Macaca fascicularis: one gene and its partner. The protein of the gene in region 1 interacts with the protein of each later gene in a biochemical or structural test. Links are inferred from orthologs where the notes say so. Each region holds a gene or a part of one and is shown in the gene's direction. Other genes may lie near its edges. The genes, in order: LMNA and EMD.

What was found.
Region 2: the proteins of LMNA (region 1) and EMD form a complex in vitro, tested with the Homo sapiens proteins (4 studies listed by BioGRID and IntAct, with this or other methods). The link is inferred for Macaca fascicularis from reciprocal best matches to the Homo sapiens genes LMNA and EMD.

What each region holds. Positions count from the first base shown.
Region 1 is NC_088375.1:104,945,647-104,949,450, reverse strand, and holds part of LMNA (lamin), read left to right. Parts: intron 1-401; coding exon 402-558; intron 559-3,804.
Region 2 is NC_088395.1:160,349,950-160,354,201, reverse strand, and holds EMD (emerin), read left to right. Parts: upstream 1-1,350; 5' UTR 1,351-1,502; coding exon 1,503-1,584; intron 1,585-1,707; coding exon 1,708-1,812; intron 1,813-1,971; coding exon 1,972-2,049; intron 2,050-2,263; coding exon 2,264-2,397; intron 2,398-2,851; coding exon 2,852-2,901; intron 2,902-2,985; coding exon 2,986-3,310; 3' UTR 3,311-3,720; downstream 3,721-4,252. UniProt on the Homo sapiens protein: Stabilizes and promotes the formation of a nuclear actin cortical network. Stimulates actin polymerization in vitro by binding and stabilizing the pointed end of growing filaments. Inhibits beta-catenin activity by preventing its accumulation in the nucleus.

The sequences.
Region 1 (3,804 bases):
GCCAAAGGGAAGTGGGTGGAGTCCAGGGAGAAGGCTAAGGCCCTGTGTGGGAAGGGGCAGGAGACAAAGGTGCCCCTGTCTCTTTGGGAAAGAATGGGAGGAGAGAGAGGGAAAAGCATTCATATCACGGGGTAGAGCTCTGCCCTTGGCCCCAGGCACGTTCCTGAGCCCTGACTCATGGGAAGGGTGGAGAAGCAGGAAGGGGGTTTTCAGAGACCTTGGGGAGGTGGGAGCCCAGCCCCAGAGGCAAGCAGATGCAAACCAACCTAATGCAAGGATGCCCTCTCCTGGTAGTTGCAGGGACAGCAGCGCCAGCCCCCATGGTTGACCTCTTGGGAGCCTGGCACTGTCTAGGCACGCAGATTCCTTCTCTTAAATCCACTCTCCCCTCTCTTCTTTAGCAATACCAAGAAGGAGGGTGACCTGATGGCTGCTCAGGCTCGGCTGAAGGACTTGGAGGCTCTGCTCAATTCCAAGGAGGCCGCACTGAGCACTGCTCTCAGTGAGAAGCGCACGCTGGAGGGCGAGCTGCATGATCTGCGGGGCCAGGTGGCCAAGGTGAGGCCACCCTGCAGGGCCTGCCCATGGCCCTACCTAACACATGTACACTCACTCTTCTACCTAGGCCCTCCCCCATGTGGTGCCTGGTCTGACCTGCCACCTGATTTCAGAGCCATTCACCTGTCCTAGAGTCATTTCAGCCACTGAGGCCACATCTTATCCTAATTTGACTGCCCATGGGATCTACCACAGTGAATTTAAAATAATCCAGGAGGCCAGGCGTGGTGGCTCACACCTGTAATCCCAGCACTTTGGGAGGCTGAGGCGGACAGATCACGAGGTCAGGAGATCGAGACCATCCTGGCTAACACGGTGAAACCCATCTCTACTAAAAATACAAAAAATTAGCCGGACGTGATGGCAGGCGCCTGTAGTCCCAGCTACTTGGGAGGCTGAGGCAGGAGAATGGCATGAACCTGGGAGGTGGAGCTTGCAGTGAGCTGAGATCGCGCCACTGCACTCCAGCCTGGGCGACAGAGCGAGACTCCGTCTCAAAAAAAAAAAAAAAAAAAAAAAAGAAGTGGATGGCTAATTACATATGGGACATGTGTTAATAATGCTTTGTGTATATATAGTGGCCTTTACTTTCAAAACACTCTTCTCCAGTTTATCGTGTTAAAAGCTAGGAATTGGGCCAGGCGTGGTGGCTCATGCCTATGATCCTAGCGCTTTGGGAGGCCGAGGCGGGTGGGTCATTTGAGGTCAGGAGTTGGAGACCAGTAATCCCACCTGTAATCCCAGCTACTTGGGAGGCTGAGGCAGGAGAATCGCTTGAACCCGGGAGGTGGAGGTTGCAATGAGCCGAGATCGGGTCACTGCACTCCAGCCTAGGTGACAGAGCGAGACTCCATCTCAAAAAATTAAAAAAATAAAAATAAATAATAAATAATAAATAAAAGCTAGGAATCAAAAAAGCAGTTTATTTCACAGTCTCATCTGTTCATAGCGGGGCCAGGATGAGAGTCAGTGGCCAAATTTCCATCCTGGGTTCTTTCCCTTCCCAGGCCCTAACATCACAGTGTACCAGGGAAAGACCCGGAGAAGCCACCAAACCAAGGCTGGGCCACCTTCCTCCTGGGTCTGGTCTGCTGCCTCCCAGTTGTACCCCTCCCCCAGCCCTTCCTGGATGCACTGATCAGCCTGTGCTTCCTTGCCCTGTTTTTCTTTTTCTTTCTTTCTTTTTTTTTTTTGAGGCAGAGTCTTGCTCTGTCGCCCAGGCTGGAGTGCAGTGGTGCGATCTTGGCTCACTGCAAGCTCCGCCTCCCGGGTTCACGCCATTCTCCTGCCTCAGCCTCCCGAGCAGCTGGGACTACAGGTGCCCACCACCTCGCCCGGCTAGTTTTTTTGTATTTTTTAGTAGAGACGGGGTTTCACCGTGTTAGCCAGGATGGTCTCGATCTCCTGACCTCGTGATCCGCCCGTCTCAGCTTCCCAAAGTGCTGGGATTACAGGCTTGAGCCACCGCGCCTGGCCGCCCTGTTTTCTTTATAAATAGAGACATGTTCTCTCTCTCTCTGTCTTTTCTTTCGAGACGGAGTCTTACTCTGTCACCCAGGCTGGAGTGCAATGGCACAATCTCGGCTCACTGTAACCTCCGTCTCCCGGGTTCAAGCCATTCTCCTGCCTCAGCCTCCTGAGTAGCTGGGATTAGAGGTGCCCACCACCACGCCCAGCTGCTTTTTGTATTTTTAGTAGAGATGGGGTTTCACCATGTTGGCCAGGCTGGTCTTGAACTCCTGACCTCAGGTGTTCTGCCCGCCTCGGCCTCCCAAAGTGCTGGGATTACAGGTGTGAGCCACCACGCCCGGCAAAACGTGTTTTCTCTATGTTGTTGAGGCTGGTCTTGAACTCCTGGCCATGAGAGTTCTTCCTGCCTCAGTCTCCCAATGTGCTGGGATTATAGGCATGAGCCACCACACTTAGCCCAGCCTGTGCTTTCTTAAATGAAAATCTAAGCATACGGCTGGGCGGATCACGAGGTCAAGAGATCGAGACCATCCTGGCCAGCATGGTGAAACCCCGTCTCTACTAAAAATACAAAAATCAGCTGGGTGTGATGGCGCGTGCCTGTAGTCCCAGCTACTTGGGAAGCTGAGGCAGGAGAATCGCTTGAACCTGGGACGTGGAGGTTGCAATGAGCCGAGATTGCGCCACTGCATGTCTTGCCTGGCGACAGAGTGAGACTCTGTCTCAAAAAAAAAAAAAGAGGCCAGGTGCGGTGGCTCACGCCTGTAATCCCAACACTTTGAGAGGCCAGCAGATCCCAAGGTCAGGAGATCGAGACCATCCTGGCTAACACGGTGAAACCCCGTCTCTACTAAAAATACAAAAAATTAGCCAGGCCTGGTGGCAGGTGCCCTTAGTCCCAGCTAGTCGGGAGGCTGAGGCAGGAGAATGGCGTGAACCTGGGAGGCGGAGCTTGCAGTGAGCCGAGATCGCACCATTGCACTCCAGCCTGGGTGACAGAGCAAGACTCCGTCTCAAAAAAAATAAATAAAAGGCCGGGCACGGTGGCTCAAGCCTGTAATCCCAGCACTTTGGGAGGCTGAGGCGGGTGGATCACGAGGTCAGGAGATCGAGACTATCCTGGCTAACATGGTGAAACCCCGTCTCTACTAAAAATACAAAAAACTAGCCGGGCGTGGTGGCGGGCGCCTGTAGTCTCAGCTACTTGGGAGGCTGAGGCGGGAGAATGGCGTGAACCCGGGAGGCGGAGCTTGCAGTGAGCCGAGATCACGCCACTGCACTCCAGCCTGGGAGACACAGCGAGACTCCGTCTCAAAAAATAAATAAATAAATAAATAAAATAAATAAATAAAAAATAAAAAATAAAAATAAATAAATAAATAAAAAAAGAAGAAAAGAAAATCTAAGCCTGGTGCTCCCCTGCTCAAACATCCTCAGGTTCTTTTCATGGCAGATAAGGGCATCTCTTCATGTGCCAGCCCCTGCCTACTGACCCAGCCACCTCTCCCATCCCTTCCCACCCCATACTTCAGGCTTCAGCAGGACTGATCTTTCCAAAGACCCCAGAACATGCATGCCTTCATACCTCTGTGTCTGTACATGCTTGTTTCTGCCCTTGAAGTCATGACAGTAACTCTCTGTAGGCCCTGCTAGCCTGTCCCTTGGGTCTTAGCCTCTTGGAGGCCTTCCCAGAGCCCCCCACAACTACCCCAGGCTTACTTTGGTTTCTTCTCTCATGTCCCCTCAGTACTTTGCACATACCTCCTTTATAGCATT
Region 2 (4,252 bases), on another chromosome or scaffold:
TTGGCAGCCTTCCATAGCTCATCACCGACGTCTGCCCCCTGCCCAGACACGCTGCGCTCAGGGACTATTCCGACAGGAGAGGACGCCCCGCTGCAGCTCCCCCCAGTGCCCCGGGTGAATGAACGGCATGAAGGATTAGGCGGGCACACGTTGTCTCTGTACGCATCGCACGGCGCCCTCTGCCCGCGCCCACTGGCGTGCCCGTCGGCATGCCCGGGCCCCTTCGAAGGCTGCTTGCTTCTGGAGTGCCAGCGGCCTCCTGGCCCAGTGCCCCATTTCCTCCCGGGTAGAGTGAGGGAGGAGGAAGGGAAGCAGAGAGGTAGGCGGTGGGAAGCAGCAGGCACATGTGCGCGGGCGAGAGCCCTGCAGACTGGGAAGAAGGGCCCGTGGCAGGGGGTCTGCGGAGATCCCATAGGCGCGGGCCTTGCCCCGCAGCCGCTTCCCGAGCAATGCGCACACAAAGCGCCCCCGGCAGTGCCTGGCCCCGGGCCCGCGCTCTCTTAGGGTCCGCTGCCGGGGCGGCCGACCGGGATGCGGCCGGGAAACCCTAGGCTCTGGGGCCCAGGAAAGGGGGGCGACGGCGGGGAGCAGGGATGTGCAGGGACCGGGCGAAGTCCAAGTGACTTAGGGACCAGAGCCACCCCAAGCGCCGACTTCGCCCGCTCGCACGTCCCGGGTCCCTAGCGCGCAGGCCCCATCCCTCTCACCCGGCTGGCTCAAGCGCGCCACAGGGTGACGTCTTGGCTCCCAGCCGTGTCGCCCTCACTCCCGCGCGGGCCCCGCCCCCTGCCGCTAGCCAATCTGTGCGTTTGTGACTTTTGGGCCCGCAGCCCCGCCTACTCCCACTGCGATACCAGTTTGCATTGCCCTGACTCCCGCGCGGGCCCCGCCGCCTACGCCGCTAGCCAATCCGTGCGTTAGTGACGTGTGGCGCCCCTCGCGGCGCGGCTTGCTCCCACCGCGAGACCTTCTGCCCCGCGCCCGCGCGGGCCCCGCCTCCTCCATCGCTAGCCAATCCCCATGTTTGTGACGTAAGGGCTCTCCGCTCCGCTCGCTCCCAACGCAAGACCTTTTGCTCCGCGCCTGCGCGGGCCCCGCCCCCTCCATCACTAGCCAATTCCCGTGTTTGTGACATATGGGCTTGCGGCCCCGCCCGCTCCCACCGCGAGACCGGTTCCCACCACCCTGACTCCCGGGGGCCCGCCCTCTCTGCCGCTAGCCAATCCGTGAGTTGATGACGTTTGGGCTCGCGGCCCCAGCCTCCCAGCTCTCAAGGCCCGGCCGGTCTGTGCCGGCTACTCCCGCCGTTTGGTCCCGCCCAGCGCAGCGCGCGCAGCCTGCGGAGCCAGCGGCCGTGACGCGACAGCGATTCGGCTGTGACGCGAGTGCGGCCGCTCCCGATGCACTCGTGCCGCCCCCGCCGTGCTCCTAGGCAGCCGTTGCTCGGCCGGTTTTGGTAGGCCCGGGCCGCCGCCAGGCCTCCGCCCGAGCCCGCACCCGCCATGGACGACTACGCAGATCTTTCAAATACCGAGCTGACCGCCTTGCTGCGCCGGTACAACATCCCGCACGGGCCTGTAGTAGGTACGCGGCGGCGGGCGGGACCCCTTCCGGGCCCCCTCCTCGTGCTCCGCCCCGCGACCTCCCCGCTGCCCTCCCCGCGCCCCTTCCCCGGACTGCGGCCCTGACCGCCCCGTGTCCGGCCAGGATCAACTCGTAGGCTTTACGAGCAGAAGATCTTCGAGTATGAGACCCAGAGGCGGCGGCTCTCGCCCCCCGGCTCGTCCGCTGCCTCCTCTTATCGCTTCTCTGGTGAGAGCCTCGCCTGTGGGGACGGCCTGGGACGCGGGGAGGATGAGGTAGCGAGGGTGTGGCAGGGGTGCCGGTCGAGAGCGGCACTGGGGAAAGGGGAGGGAAGCCTTGGGGTGGGGGTGGGGGGGCAAACAGTTCTGTCTCCTCCTTTCAATCCAGAGTTGAATTCGACGTCAGGGGATTCAGATATGTATGATCTTCCCAAGAAAGAGGACGCCTTACTCTACCAGAGCAAGGGTAAGGCAGGGGTTGGGTGGGCACGCTGGCACCTTCACCCGACTGCGTCAGGGACCCCGCTCACAGGGAGGACCTGAGACCTCAGTCCCAACCACTCCAGCAGCCTTAGGAGGGAGAAACTGTCACAGGTCCCGAAATGGGATTCAGATTAGGGCCATCGGGCCAGGCGGGGCACACCGATGCCCCCTCTGCTACCGCTGCCCCCCTTCCCAAGGCTACAATGACGACTACTATGAAGAGAGCTACTTCACTACCAGGACTTATGGGGAGCCCGAGTCTGCGGGCCCGTCCAGGGGCTTCCGCCAGTCTGTGACTTCACTCCCAGATGCTGACACTTTCCACCACCAGGTGAGCTGGCTGGCAGGCGTACTGTACTTGGGTACAACCTAGGGGATCGCGGCTGTGTTTGGATAAATCCAGGGGGCCACTGGGTACAAATGGTGGCCCTTGGGCCTCTGGGGAGACTTTGGCTCAGCAGACACCTGTTTGGTCAGGGTCCTACTTTGGGGAGCCCTCAGAACTATGTGACTAGAGCACATAGGATGCGTCCTGCACCCTGGTCTGGGATCTAGGCTCCAGCTCTTCCTGAGAGTCCTGGGGGCAAAGGGGGATGCTGGGGCATGAGCACAAGTAGCAAGGCCCCATGGATAAAAGGCCGAACACCCAGAGTCATTCAGGAGGGTGTGGGTCCCTGGCCTTTAACCAAAGGTCAGAGGGGACCTGCTGGGGAAATTTGAGAGGGACGTGGCAGGGCCATTGTGGCCCTGCCAGCCAGTTCCCTCACCTTGACTCTCTTCTACAGGTACGTGATGACGACCTTTTGTCGTCTTCTGAAGAGGAGTGCAAGGATAGGTATGTATGTATGGGGAAGGCCAGGGACAGGGGCTGGTTCTGGACCCAGGCTCCTGGCCCACCTGCTCCCCTCTTTTGCCTCAGGGAACGCCCCATGTACGGCCGGGACAGTGCCTACCAGAGCATCACGCACTACCGCCCTGTTTCAGCCTCCAGGAGCTCCCTGGACCTGTCCTATTATCCTACTTCCTCCTCCACCTCTTCTATGTCCTCATCATCTTCCTCTTCATGGCTCACCCGCCGTGCCATCCGGCCTGAAAACCATGCTCCTGGGGCTGGGCTGGGCCAGGATCACCAGGTCCCACTCTGGGGCCAGCTGCTGCTTTTCCTGGTCTTTGTGATCGTCCTCTTTTTCATTTACTACTTCATGCAGGCTGAGGAAGGCAACCCTTTCCAGAGGGAGCCATGAGGGTCTGGGCTTCAGAGCCAGGTCTTCTGGGGAAGTCCTGGCTGACTGCCTTAGCAGTGGGGGTGGGGGTGGGTGTGGGGGCAGGGGCAGGGGCAGGGGCTTTTATGTGTTCTTGCTTGGGGGGCGCTGGGCCTAGCCCAGAGTAGTGCTTGCTCCCCCTGCCTTGTCCCACCAGGGAGGCAGCAGATTCAGGCCCTCCATGGGGGCCTGAGTGTGCTTTCCTCGGCAGCCTCCTGGCCCTGCTTGCCTGTAACCCTTAGGGTCCAGGAGGGCAAGGCCTCGCTCAGTCAGAGGAGAACATGGTTCTTGTTGTCATGCATGCCTCCTTTTTGTCATCTTGTTGGGGGGGATTAACCAAAGGCCACCCTTTGTTTTCGTGGACACACAATAAAAACCCCATTTATTTTTAATGCGTTGGCTCTTCCTGGAGGAGAGGGTTGGGCTCCCATGGCAAGGGCCTCTGCGTCTTGGGACTCGAGGATTGCAATCTGGCTTTGTTGGGTCCGCATTTTTGCTTTGGTCTGGGGATAGGAATCAAATGCTACCCAGAGATGTTTGTGTTTTGTTTGGGAGTTTTATTCCCTAACTCATTCCCCAAAGCACCTGTAACTGCTTATACATATAATTGTGGTACAACAAGGCGTATACAGAGAACCCACTTAGAAATTCAGGCAAAGCAGCCGGGCGCAGTGGCTCAAGCCTGTAATCCCAGCACTTTGGGAGGCCGAGGCGGGCGGATCACGAGGTCAGGAGATTGAGACCATACTGGCTAACACAGTGAAACCCCGTCTCTACTAAAAATACAAAAAAGTAGCCAGGCGAGGTGGTGGGCGCCTGTAGTCCCAGCTACTCGGGAGGCTGAGGCAGGAGAATGGCGGGAACCCGGGAGGCGGAGCTTGCAGTGAGCTGAGATCGCACCACTGCACTCCAGCCTGGGTGACA